Caenorhabditis elegans: one gene and its partner. The protein of the gene in region 2 interacts with the protein of the main gene of each other region in a biochemical or structural test. Each region holds a gene or a part of one and is shown on either strand. Other genes may lie near its edges.

What was found.
Region 1: the proteins of unc-52 (region 2) and dlg-1 form a complex in vitro, tested with the Caenorhabditis elegans proteins (one study listed by BioGRID).

What each region holds. Positions count from the first base shown.
Region 1 is NC_003284.9:5,478,021-5,485,738, reverse strand, and holds dlg-1 (Disks large homolog 1), read right to left. Parts: upstream 6,040-7,718; 5' UTR 5,979-6,039; coding exon 5,957-5,978; intron 5,748-5,956; exon of another isoform or gene 5,637-5,747; intron 5,521-5,636; exon of another isoform or gene 5,243-5,520; intron 5,075-5,242; coding exon 4,758-5,074; intron 4,682-4,757; coding exon 4,463-4,681; intron 4,416-4,462; coding exon 4,319-4,415; intron 4,272-4,318; coding exon 4,181-4,271; intron 4,128-4,180; coding exon 3,776-4,127; intron 3,720-3,775; coding exon 3,413-3,719; intron 3,355-3,412; coding exon 2,886-3,354; intron 2,828-2,885; coding exon 2,304-2,827; intron 2,221-2,303; coding exon 1,938-2,220; intron 1,891-1,937; coding exon 1,769-1,890; intron 1,714-1,768; coding exon 1,613-1,713; 3' UTR 798-1,612; downstream 1-797. UniProt on the Caenorhabditis elegans protein: Essential multidomain scaffolding protein required for normal development. Recruits channels, receptors and signaling molecules to discrete plasma membrane domains in polarized cells. Required for proper embryonic elongation.
Region 2 is NC_003280.10:14,681,328-14,686,234, forward strand, and holds the start of unc-52 (Basement membrane-specific heparan sulfate proteoglycan core protein), read right to left. Parts: upstream 3,130-4,907; 5' UTR 2,970-3,129; coding exon 2,767-2,969; intron 2,219-2,766; coding exon 2,064-2,218; intron 1,978-2,063; coding exon 1,739-1,977; intron 1,563-1,738; coding exon 1,380-1,562; intron 1,015-1,379; coding exon 864-1,014; intron 476-863; coding exon 366-475; intron 1-365. UniProt on the Caenorhabditis elegans protein: Component of an integrin containing attachment complex, which is required for muscle development and maintenance. Probable structural role in myofilament assembly and/or attachment of the myofilament lattice to the cell membrane.

The DNA of each region.
Region 1 (7,718 bases), on a different chromosome or scaffold from region 2:
AACGTCTGCAAAGTAGGATCAAAAGAATAAAAAAATGTTCTTAAATTCGAGCCAGTCTGTGTTTCAAATTAACAAAATGTGAGATAAAATAAATTGCTAGCTTTGACTCAAATTAAAAAATGAATTTAAACAGTTAAATTAAAAATTAAATTAAAATTACAGTTTTCTTCATGGCAACTTATGCTACTTGGGAAAACTTCAAAAAAAAAATTGCTCCCGGTGAGGCTCGAACTCACGACCTTCAGATTATGAGACTGACGCGCTGCCTACTGCGCTACGGAAGCACGTTGTGAACTCTTCACAAAGGACTTGAGAAAGGATGCAAAAACTGAGATCCCAAGTGGGACAGGGATTTGAAAATATCACAACTGTAAATAGTCTAGTTGAAAAATCTCAAATTTAACTCATAGTCAGTAATTAAAATATTATTGATATTTTAAAATCATTCTAATCTTATTTTGCGTTTAAAATACATGTTTTTTTCGTTAATTGAAAGACTAATAAAATATCAGGAACAATATTTCAGTCGAAGAAATATATTAGGCAAAAAAGATTGCTCCCGGTGAGGCTCGAACTCACGACCTTCAGATTATGAGACTGACGCGCTGCCTACTGCGCTACGGAAGCACATTTCGAAACGGATTCTGAAGAGTACTTCAAATCCTTTTGTTTCGGAATTTTTCCAGCGATCTAATAAAATGAATATTTTTAATGACAAATTGCCGCAGTCATTTTCAGAACACCCTGATATACTGAAAATAAAGTTTTTTCTTGTTACTTCAACACATGTATGTTTTGCAGATGCAATAAAATCTTTATTCAAGATAATTTGTATAAAAAGTTTTTAAAAATAATTAAAAAAAAAAAGTTTGGAACCAATGGATGAAAATAAAATGCTCTCAGAGTAATAAAAGTCCCAAAAAATAGAAATGAGCCGAAGTTTTTCATCAGTAGAGAGTCGGGAATATGATAATGATTTGCGGTTAGTAGAGACAAATGAAGCGTTGAGAATATCACAAACTGTCACAATTTCAAGTAAGAAGTGAATTGAGTTGGGGGAGGAAGGAGAGGGAAGAAGGAAGGAAAGCTGGGGCGGATTATAAAATGCAAGTATTTGTAAGGTGAATTTCAAGATAAAATGGGCTGTAGAGAAAACAGGCAGTACAAACTATCGTAGTAAAATATTCGGAGACAAAAGTAGAAACGATTCACCGTTTTCTGGCAGTGATTGTGGAGAGTTATGATTGAAAATGAAAATAATGAGCAAGGTAAAAGAAAAAAAGAATCAGAAAACTATTGAAATATTGGCCTTTCACGTTTCTGAGTTCGAGTAGTAGAGTTTCTTGAATTGAGAACTTGGAAAGGTCATGTAAATTAATGCATAATAGGGAAGGGGTACTAAACAAAATACAAATAAAGATGGGGATGGAAACAGGATAAAGCAAATGACATCAAGAGTTTTTTCAAAGGATCACTTTTCTCAGATTAAAAAAAAGTATCACAACACGGCGTAGTCTAATTATTAAGGTAAATTAAACTGTATATTAATTAATTTCAAGAAGACATATTTCTTGAAGAAACGATTATTTGTCTAAAAAATATCCAATTTCATCTAATGACGTGGCACCCAAATTGGCGTCTGCGATTCACGGCTGATGATGGAGTACACTTTGCTCAAAACGTCATTCGCGCTGTGCACATTTGAGATTTCTTCTGAAATAAATAAAAAATCAGATATTTGATAATAATGGTTGGAAAAAAGACATACGCGTGAACAAATCCCCGAAAGTTTGCTCAATTCTATGACATCTGGAATACTGCGCTTGAGCTTCTTCGCCACTCATCGCTCGATCGTCTTGTCGGTTGGTGGCAAGTTGGCTGTCCAATTCACTGAAATTTTGCAGATTGATAAAGCTTCTTTTTACAATTTAACTTACAGAATCTGTTGTGCAGAGCTGGGCTTGATGAAGATCGAGATTGGTTGAATATTGGCATTGCTTTGAAGTCGTCGGATAGCATTTCCACTGACGTCCAGAATACAGTGTCTTCCTTGGTTGGCGACATCTCGGACGCTTTGAATGCTAGTTCCGTAGAGATTGTTTTGGAATTGTCCCGCTTCAATGAAGAGATTATTCTTGACATCTTCCTCCATATTGTGCTTGTTGACAAAGTAGTAGTCACGTCCGTTAACCTCTCCCTCGCGTGGTGGTCGGGAAGTGTCTGAAAAGGGTATTATGAGTATATTGCACATACTATTTAGAAATGTTCTCTTTTTTAAAGTAGTTAATAACTTCACAACTTACGTGGAACGCAGCTACTGAATTTCGAAGGGTCGCGGTTGACAAGTTCATCGTTGATTCGGTCTTTGAGAGCTCCAAGAATGATCACTGGACGAACGTAGTTGATCGCCTGTTGCTCAACTGCCTGGTAGGACCACACTGGCTCTTCAGCTACATTTGAGGATTCCTCATTAAGATCGTTGAGCCGGTCGGTACTTTTGACGAATGGGAACTTTCTGGAGAAGGAAAGCTGACTGCGGCTTCCTCTTCGGTTTTCCAATCCAGTAGTGCTCGAGTTTCTTCCAAGAGACTGCGATCCCGAGTTGAAGTTGACTTGCTTCCGACGAAGTCGTTCTCTCTTCTCGACACGTTTCTTTGATGGAATCACTCCTTCAGCTGTTTCTTCTCCGTTTTCGTGAACTTTTCTAGCTGTCCACCATTCATCGTCAGATGAGTTGATGATATGTAGGATGTCACCATAGTTAAATCCCATTGATCTATGGGGAGCAACAGAGTTTTCACGTGATGGATCATAATCGAAAAGTGCTCTGAAAGATGTTATTCGTTGATATATGTATACATTTATAAGTAAACAAATCTTCTTACCTAACATATTCAGACTTTCTGCTCAAAGTTCCCATTCTAGATTGAGCAATCACGTCGTTTCTCAGCTTCTCAATTTTGGACTCAAAAATTTGATACTCTTGTGGTCTGTACTGAAGAGTGAGATAAACGGGATTTCCAGCGTTTCTCAATGCTTCAGCTGCTTCCTTATGGGTTGCATTTCTCAAAACAACTCCGTTCACTTCAAGAAGAACGTCTCCAGTCTTCACGTTTCCACTAAGATCAGCAACACCTCCTGGGAGAACAAAACTGATGTAGATGGGCTCATTGTCTTCTCCGCCAACAATGTTGAATCCAAGTCCATTTTGGCCCTTTACAAGTTGTACTGGACGGGGTTCGAGTGGAATTGCGATGGGGGCTTGTGAACTGTAGCTGGTGTTCAGTGGTCCTCCGTAAGACAAATGACTTTGAGATCCCATTTGAGAGCGGTTGTAGTCTTGAACGGAGCTAGCTGAAATGAAATTAATTAGAAACTATATTATTATTTTTGATTCTTGGGATTGTCTTACGTCTGAGAATTGGGGTAGTTGGCATGAATTGTTGGCTCGCCGAGTCATTGAAAATTGCCCCAGTTCCTTGCTGAATAAGAAGTCGAACACGATTTCCAGTGTTTTTGAGAACATTGACCGCATTTTCATGAGTCGTGTTAATCAAAGAGTGATGATCAACTTCAAGAATCTTATCTCCGACTCTTAATCTTCCGTCTAATTCAGCTGCTCCCTCCTCAATGATTTTCGTCACATAGATATCGGTATCTCCTTTAACGTGCTCGTTTCCTTGACCACCAGCAATAGAGAAACCAAGTCCACGTGCTCCCTAAAAAAAGTTCACATAGATTCTTTTGTACTTTGGAAAGAGAAAATGTCGCCAACCTTAACCAGATCAATGACGGATGTATTCGGTCGTGTGGAACGATATTGGCCAACAGATAATTGGCTCAATGATCCGTGATGAACTGGTGGTGGCGGTGGTGGATGAATCGGAGCCGATGGAGAATGAATTGCGTGTTGCAAGTTGCCGGCGCTCACTGATGGAGTGACTCCTGATCTGAGGTAAGAAGTCGACCCGCCAAAGTTTCCTCCAATTGGAAGAAAGGCTTCATCTTTACGCCGTTTCAAACTCAACGAAACAACGTTTCCGGAGCTTTTCAATGCGTTGACTGCAACCTCATGCTTCACATTTTCACAGTTTGTATTGTTGACTGCAGTGATAATATCATTCTTTCTAAAAAAAACATGACCATAAAGTTCTGTTCATCTTAAATTGCGGTTTTTTACCTCATACGCCCATCAGCAAGTGCGGCACCTCCTTCAATAATATTGGTGACATAGATAGAAGTATCTCCGTCTTCTGTTGGTTGGTCCATACCTATAATCAGATATGTTACATCATAAATACCGGTTGAACGCGCATACCTCCAGTAATCGAGAATCCAAGGCCGGTGTGACCTTTCTCCAAGACAATATTCTCAAGCTCCCATTTACGACCATGATCATCGATAACTCCAGTATGCTGAATATATGATAATTAAAACTAATATTGAGCCAAAATTATCTTACTTCAACCACACGTCTTTCAAGACCACTTGGAGTGTCAACTGTTCTTGTGGTTGTTTCCCGCCATGTTCCATCATGACTGGTCTGACGTTGACGCTCATGAAGGTAGTGAGTGCTGGATGAGTTGTACGGAGAAGACAGAAGTCCGTTTCCAAGTCCATTCCCAAGCCCGTTTCCAAGGCCTCCGCCGTTCAAATACGAGAAACCTCCCCGATCTCTCAGCTAAAATAATTTTTTTTATAAAGTATTAAAAAAATCTAGAATCCAAATCCAGAGAAAAAAAGAAAGCAGAGCTTACATCTGAAATAAGTGGAGTTGTGCTTGAAAGGTTGTAGTTCGACGTGGAAGTCGTCGCAGCCGGACGACTGTTGTAGGAGTGTGGTCCACCTTCGAGTCGCTCAATCACACGCCTTACTTCCATATTTTTCTCTGCATCTGATTTTCGCTCGCTGAGCAGCGTCTGCTCGTACAGATCGTGAATGTCGAGCAACGAATGCATCAGGTTTGATTTGAATGTGGTGATAACTCGTTCCAGGTTTGTGCGTAGCTCCTCATTGCCGTGTCTTGTCAGTGTCTGGCAGTAGTCCTCCACATTTTCTATCGCTTTATGCGCTTCTGAAAATACAGTTTCATGTTCAGTTATAATTGTTGTAGGATTATGCACATCCCAAGTCGCAAAGTGTAACAAGTCTAGGTTGATGACTCATTTTGCGGCAAAACATGGTCAACAAAAAAGGTTATCATGCGCTTTCTTTCCCATCCCGGCAAATAACGATGAGTCACCCTGCGAGGATGCGCAATCTCCCTCGTTTTCCCTCCTTTCTCCCCTTTCCCTTCGGAATGTACAAGACTGGCCCCGGAAAGATGTCTCCGATGAATAAAGGGGAGACTCCTGGTTGGACTGTCGGACACGTACACACACCATCACAAACAGATTGTTTTCTCTTTGCCCTCTTTCTTTTTGCCTTCTATTCCTCCCACTGCGTCTTCTTCGCCTTCTTATACAAATATAATGTTTGCACATTCAGAGACGCATCCTCACCATCATGCGCGCCAGAAAGCATTCACCTGGCGGGGAGGAGGAGGAGGCTCCGAGTAGTGTGAACTTTTCGAAAACGTATATAGCAAAATTATTACGTATATGTGTATGTGTATCGAAATGTGTAAGTGTCAACACCACAATACCTCATGAGGCGGGGTGGCCGTATTTGGCAGTTTCGAGGTGATAAGAAGACTGTTGAGATGCGATCATCGCATTGAAGTCATAAGAAGGCAGGGAAAGGGGGAGCGTAGAAAACGCAAGAATGTACATAAGTTGGTGTGTTGCCTTGGCTAATTCTGGTCATTGTGACATTGAGTTTAACGACCACGGCGACCGTAGGAAATGGGTTCGGTGATAATTGGTTAGGAGAAAACTGTGGCAAACAATTGAGATTAGTGGACATTGAACGTTTTGCAAAATAGAAACAGTTTGAAACTTAAATGTCTAGAACTCACTTTCCGATGACTCGTGGGACATGCTTCCTTCCTTCGGTGAGGCGTTCTTCCCACTCCGATCGGTTTTCTTTCGATGCTGGTCGCTGAAAATTGAAAAAATTAAATTGATCAACAAGTTTTTGAGACTGAAAATAGAAATAGACGACTGGTTTTAATGCTTCTAATAATCTAAAAACAGAGCTCGGTAAGAAGGAGGCATTGAAGACGAAAAGGAAAAACTGTGCGGCGATAAGACATAACTTATCAGAAAGAAACAAGAATTTACGGCAAACACACGCACACACACACACACATACACACAAGCAGGCCGCCATTGAGTTTGTTTTAGCGAACTTGATGTAAATAATAGAAACAAGATGCAGAGCAAAACGAGCAGGGGAAGGAGTAAATGAAATTTTTTGAAAAATCTAGGAAGATTCATAAATCATAATCCATCGTGGATAGAAAAATAGAAGGATATCCCGTACATAGAAGATGGAAGACGCTAGGTTTCGCATTTCACTTGTGTCGAGTCATGGATATGTTTATTTTTTGTTCGGCAATTCCCACCAACTATTGGTATGATTCAGTAGGTTGGATGAGGGGGAAAAATATAAATATTCCTCTCGTCTTCCTCCGGGCGGGTCGCATCTTACTCTAGATTAGTATCTACCAGAAGGGAAGACTGTGTGTGAGAGATCTGATAGATATGCTTGAGTAGAAGAAGAGGTAAAAAAGAAGGGCGTTTGGGTATAAACGGTGGGGGTCTTCAACGTTTATTGGACACCAACCACCTCCGCCGGTGGTTTTATTATAGACGCGAGGCGACAAACCGCACCATCGGAGAGGGACCTGGTAGGAGGAGCGGGGAGTCGATTGTTTTGAAAGGTTGTCATCTAATTCAAAAATTAGTAAACTATTATTAGGTATTTTTATCTTTGGATATTTTGTAAAATTCTGAATTTAAATAAAGGAGATTAAGTTCGGAGGGTTTTGGCTCCCTGGAAGGTTTCATAATGAGTCCTGAAAAATAAATCCAAAAATTTTGGATTAAGTTTATTTAAATTAACATATTCCTACAATTTGTCTTTATCACAGATGCCAAAAATATATACAAGCCAGAAATTTTAAATTGTTACCACCCCATCACGTCTCTTTAAGTTAAATAGTTAAAATTATCTTCGCTCTAAAATGTATGTTTCATTAGAACACTAACAATTTTATCTAAACAAAATGGGGGTTTTATTAGAAAATAATGCCATAAAATTGTATAGTTTGAAATTAATGGTCACAGACACGTCTGCAAATTTGAGTTCACAAAAAATATATTTCAATAGCCACTTGATTTCCAAAGAACTGAACAAAAAACAGGAACAAGTCGACTTGAAACAAATCACAGTGTCGAAACATAAATGGTCAAGATGAGAAGTGGAACAGACCCGGCCAGCATAGAAAAAACAACACTAACTTATGCGTCACGCTGTGTGTGTGTGTGTGTGTGTGTGTGAAATTATATTCAACATGTACAAGCCAACGGGACATTAGTCACGACATGCGGGAAGAAGATAGCGAACGTCGTCTATTGTACCAAAAACATGCCGGGAACAAATGCGCCAAAAAAGTTGTGGCGAGGCGAATACTCTACTACTATTTCGAAATATGGAATTAAAAAAGTCATATTTTTTTCTATTTTTTTAAAAAGGTTTTTTTAGTGCGCCTTGACTGTAGCGATTTTATGTACTTTTGGGATTTTATGACTAAAATGGGAACACAAAACGTCTAA
Region 2 (4,907 bases):
AAAATTGAAATTTAAAGGAACTTGAAATTAAAGATTGCCTTTGAAAACTCCTGGAGTAATCCCAATTGTCTAAAAAAATGCAATAAAGGCACCTTTTATCAGGAGTGTGCGGCAAACGATTTTTCTGGCAAATCGGCAATCCGGCAATTTGCCGATTTGCCAGATTTGCCGAACAGCAATTGCCGCCCATTCCTGAATTATTTAGTGCATCTACAGTAATATCTTATAGAGTATCCATACAGGCTCTGGAATACTACTGTATTGCAAAAATGCGGTCTTTTTGTGGGTCCAATGTATCCCTACGATTTCCCTACTGTAGTTTCACAGTACAACTTTGTTGAATTTAAAATTCCCCAACCCCTTACCTTTTCATCAGAACCATCATGGCAATCTTTCCATCCGTCACAGACGACGACAGTTGGCACACAAACATTTGTGGACTCGCATCGGAACTCATTCGATTTGCATTGCACTTCTGTAATAAGTCAAGTCGACGAAAGATTTTCTCAAGCACGGAGCACAATTTTTCAATTTTTCCTTGAGCATTTTCTCCTACAAGTGTGCGAAAAACAAAACAAGTGTGCTGGTCAAATGTTTAACTATTGTTTCTCCGAGCACACACACACACATGTGTGTGTGTGCTCTTTTCGTCCCCTCTCACCTTGTTGGAATAACCGGGTCTACTGGCTGCTTTTCAACTAAAAATTATTGGAAATGAGTCATTGATCTATCTTCCATTTTTTGGTACTAGTATTTTTCTCACAATGAAAAACATCAATTATTACATTCTAAGGAGCGAGGTAGTATCTAGCACCTATTATAACGAAATGTTCAATGTATTTTATGACTAAGAGGCCCCCTACCAGAGCAATGTTCCTCGTCATCACCATCTGGGCATTGAACTCGGCGATCACAGAATTGGGCGACTGGAAGGCAATGTCCAGATTTACAGGCACGCTCCCCGCTTGGGCATTCGTCGGATTCGGTGGCGACACGGTCGGAGGTGATGCGGACCTGAAATTGAACATTTTATGAATAGCTAAAAATACTGTAAATGGAAATTGGTTCTGATCGGTTTCGGAATAATGAAAAATTTTGATTTTAGAAATTTTCAAACATATTTTCACTTGTTTGAAGTCCTTTAAGTTGAAACACAATGTATCAAAATATGCAAATCGGAGAAGAAAAATTTTTTAAAAAATGGACCAAAAAATTCATGTGCAAATATAATAGTCGTTGAACCTCTCAGTTACAGTTTTGCCAATATTTTTGGAAATTTAAAATTTTAAAGGAAGTTTCAAACCATCAATGATAGCATATATGGAAACCCCTTTCTTAATATTTTTCTCAAATTTCCTGAATCACTTTCCAACGCTTACCTCAAAATCAGCCTCCACATTTATTCCTTGCACAATCATTTTATAAGTTCCATCATCTGCGTCGGTGGCGTTGATGATATGAAGATGATGTTTGTCTCCTTTTTTGTAAACCGTCACACGCCCGTCTTCTGCCAAGGTCATCGAGCCAACTCCAAGAAGAACGCTGTCTTTGGACCAAGCAATCTGGAATAATCAATAGTTTTACACAATATTAAAAGATTTTTCGGAGCATTACCTCAATTCAAAAGTCAATTAAGAAACTTTTTTTTTAATTATCAACATAGCTTGGAATTAGAAAATTAAGCATAGCCTCCAATCATGTAGACACTTTTTTATAATCAAATAAAGTGTATACGAACCTTATTATCCTCTACCGAACTATCAATTGAAGCCGAGAGATGGATGGATCCATGTTTCTGAGCGAAGACAACTTTCTCAGTTTGATGGATGATTGGTTGATGCTGCTTGCATTTTCCATGCTCCTTGTGCTCATCTGATCCATCTGGACAGTTGCGTCTTCCATCACAACGTTGATCCGCCGGGATGCATGACTTGTCAAGGCATGTGAATTCTGTGGTGGCGCAGGCTATTGACGAGTCTGCAATTTTTGGTAAAGTAAGATTTTTCAGGCGACTGAATAATTTTAACATATAAAACAACACACAACAACACACAACAACACACCTCTTACAACATGAAGCTCAAAACCCTCATCGGAAACCGTAAGGTTCCCAATTTTTCCAGACTTTATCGCGGACAACAACACATCAGACACCAGTGGTGACTCTTTTTCAGCGTACAAATCCACGTAGACAAGAGATCCAATGATTTTGTGATATCTGGAAGTTACAACAACATATAGGTACACACACATGTACATACATACGCATGTATTTACACAAAATACTCTATTGTTGACTTTCTCTCGTGGGAGGAAGCGACCGTTTTTTTTTTGTTAAGAATTATCAGAAAACATGACATTGGAATTTGGAAGAATTATTTGAAAACTTTAATATATACTTTTTAAAATTAAGCTGCAGAAGTATGCCTTCTAAATTAGTATTGTTGAATTTTGAATGACCGCGGACTCCGGACCTCGGACTTCGGACCTCGGGCTTCGGGTTCCGTTCTCCGGACGATGGACTCCGGGCTCTGCACTCCGGACTCCCAATTTTGGAACCCGGGTCTCCGAACTTGCGGATTACGGACTCTGGGTTATGGCCCACGGGCAACAGTTACGGGTTTGGATTACGGACTGATGGACATTTTGTAATTTTAAGATTCCGCAAAAAAGTAAATATGTGGAAATTAGGGGAGCAATTTTAGAATTTCTTGAAAAGTGAAAAACGCCCAAAATTGTCGATAACCTTTTTCACTCAAAACTCACTTATAATCGGCAACCTTAGCTGTATGCCTTCCTTCTAGATCCTTGACCAACTCTTGAATAGAATGAGCTATATCTCTAGATGTGCTCACGAACTCATCGCTCTCAACGTTCTTCAACTCCTGAGTGTACGGTAGTTCGGGAAAGTTGATGGTCAACCGGTAGATGACCGTCAGTGAAACGACGGAGAACAGCGAAAACGCCATCCCCCCTAACTAGTTGACGGGGGGTATAAATGAGCAGTAGGTCAGTTTTAAAAAAAGAAAGTAAGGAGATAGAAGGTTGCTAGACAGAGGCGCGCGCTGACCGTCGGCGGCGGCGAGGCACAGCGGCACAGTTGCAACTTCTTAGGCCCCGCCCACTTTTTTAGGAGAAGCTTCCACCCTCCTTCTTCTCTAACTGAATTTCTTTCCTGACTCAGGTAAATATTTGCATTTTAGAGCCGCCTCTCTTGTTGCGCCTGCGCGTCTCGCAACTAGCATAAACACATCACACACACTCACACTCACTCACACACTCACATACTTGAATAGCTTGTCATGCACCACGTTGGACGGAGTATCATGGTATATAACCGTCTCATAATATATAATATAGATTCGCATGTTTCTTGCTTATTGTTATTATATTAGACGCGGTTGCCGCTATTGGGGGTGCAAGTTTGAAAAGAGCTAGAAAATTTGGTAGCATTGGTGTTTGAGAAAATATTTCCAATTCTAATGCGTTTCTGGCCATTAGCTGACAGTAACCAAATCATACAGTTCTCATGTATACTTTCTAAAGCAATTCCAGTGTGTTTAAGCTTCAAATCTAGCAGTCCTCATTTTATGTAAAACTACATAATTTCCAGAAAAGTACAAAAATTCAACAGAACATATAAAATATGTTGATGTTGCATGAATACATAGTTGCAAAACCACAATTTTCCTAAAATTTTCAATTTTGGCAACTGCCAAAAATAAAATTTGTCGGCCACTCTCTTGATACAGAGTGAATCCACAGTACCTGGCGTTTCACGTCAAGTGCATTTGAGTGTGCTACCATAGTCTTATCGAAAGACTTTTGTACATACAATAAACCTAGCCACTTCGTGATCAATTCATGAATTTCAATTCAAAACAACTCTATATTGCAAATTTCTGAATTCTAGGATTTTTCTAGGAAGGCGGTGAAAACCATGTACAAAGCTTCGCCTTTTTCAAGTTGCTCCGGCCCGCGTGCACTTTTGATTTCATTTGGCAAAAAGAGTTTTTGTTGCAATACCCGCCCAAACCATCATATATCCTGTCCAAACAAAATATCCCCAAATCTTTTCCGACATACACAGGTCGTCGTCATCTCATCACTCGACGAGAGTTCCCCGATCATCAAACCTCATATTGGTGGCTCGTCTTTTCCGTCCGATTTTCACATCCTCAAGTGTTTATAAATAGAGGAAGAATCATCTCCCAGAGGTTATAGCTTTGACTATATATATTTCATTTTCCCATACCTTTTATAATCACTGATATCGCCACCTCACCAAAGAAGGTGGCGAAAACTGTCGAAACCTTCCGATTATATAAAAGTACCCCCACAAATATTGACACAACAATTGGACAGTCTTCAAGCCGATTTAAGGGAGGAACGGTAGCTGCTTGGAATGGGGGTAGTAGGTTAAAAGGTGAAAAGCGGCGAGGAAAAAGAGTGGAAAATTGGTGGAGAGCTGGGAGAATTGTTTGCTGATTTTCGCACTATCCCTATACTTCTTGCATCTAAAAGTGCAAATCTTTTGGGGAAAGCTGGTGAAAAAAATTGGGAGTTAATTAGAGGAAAAAACAATTGGAACAAACACAAAATTTTCAAGAGAAAAAATATGATTTTTTGAGTACAGTGAGTAAATATATGAAAGTGAATAAAATTTTTTTAAAAATGGCAAAAATAATTTAGCAATTTTCGAAAAAAAAAGTTTTTAAGCCCAAACAAAACCATAACACAAAGCATTTTGAAAAAAATACAGACACACTTAAACTAAAAAAGCAGGCAAACATATCCCAATGAGGAGGGGGCCACCCAACAAACGCAACAGGATGAATGAGATCTATAACCGGGAAGAGTTGTAAACTAATGTAAAGGCAATTGTTAGCGCGTTAGGAAATTGTCGC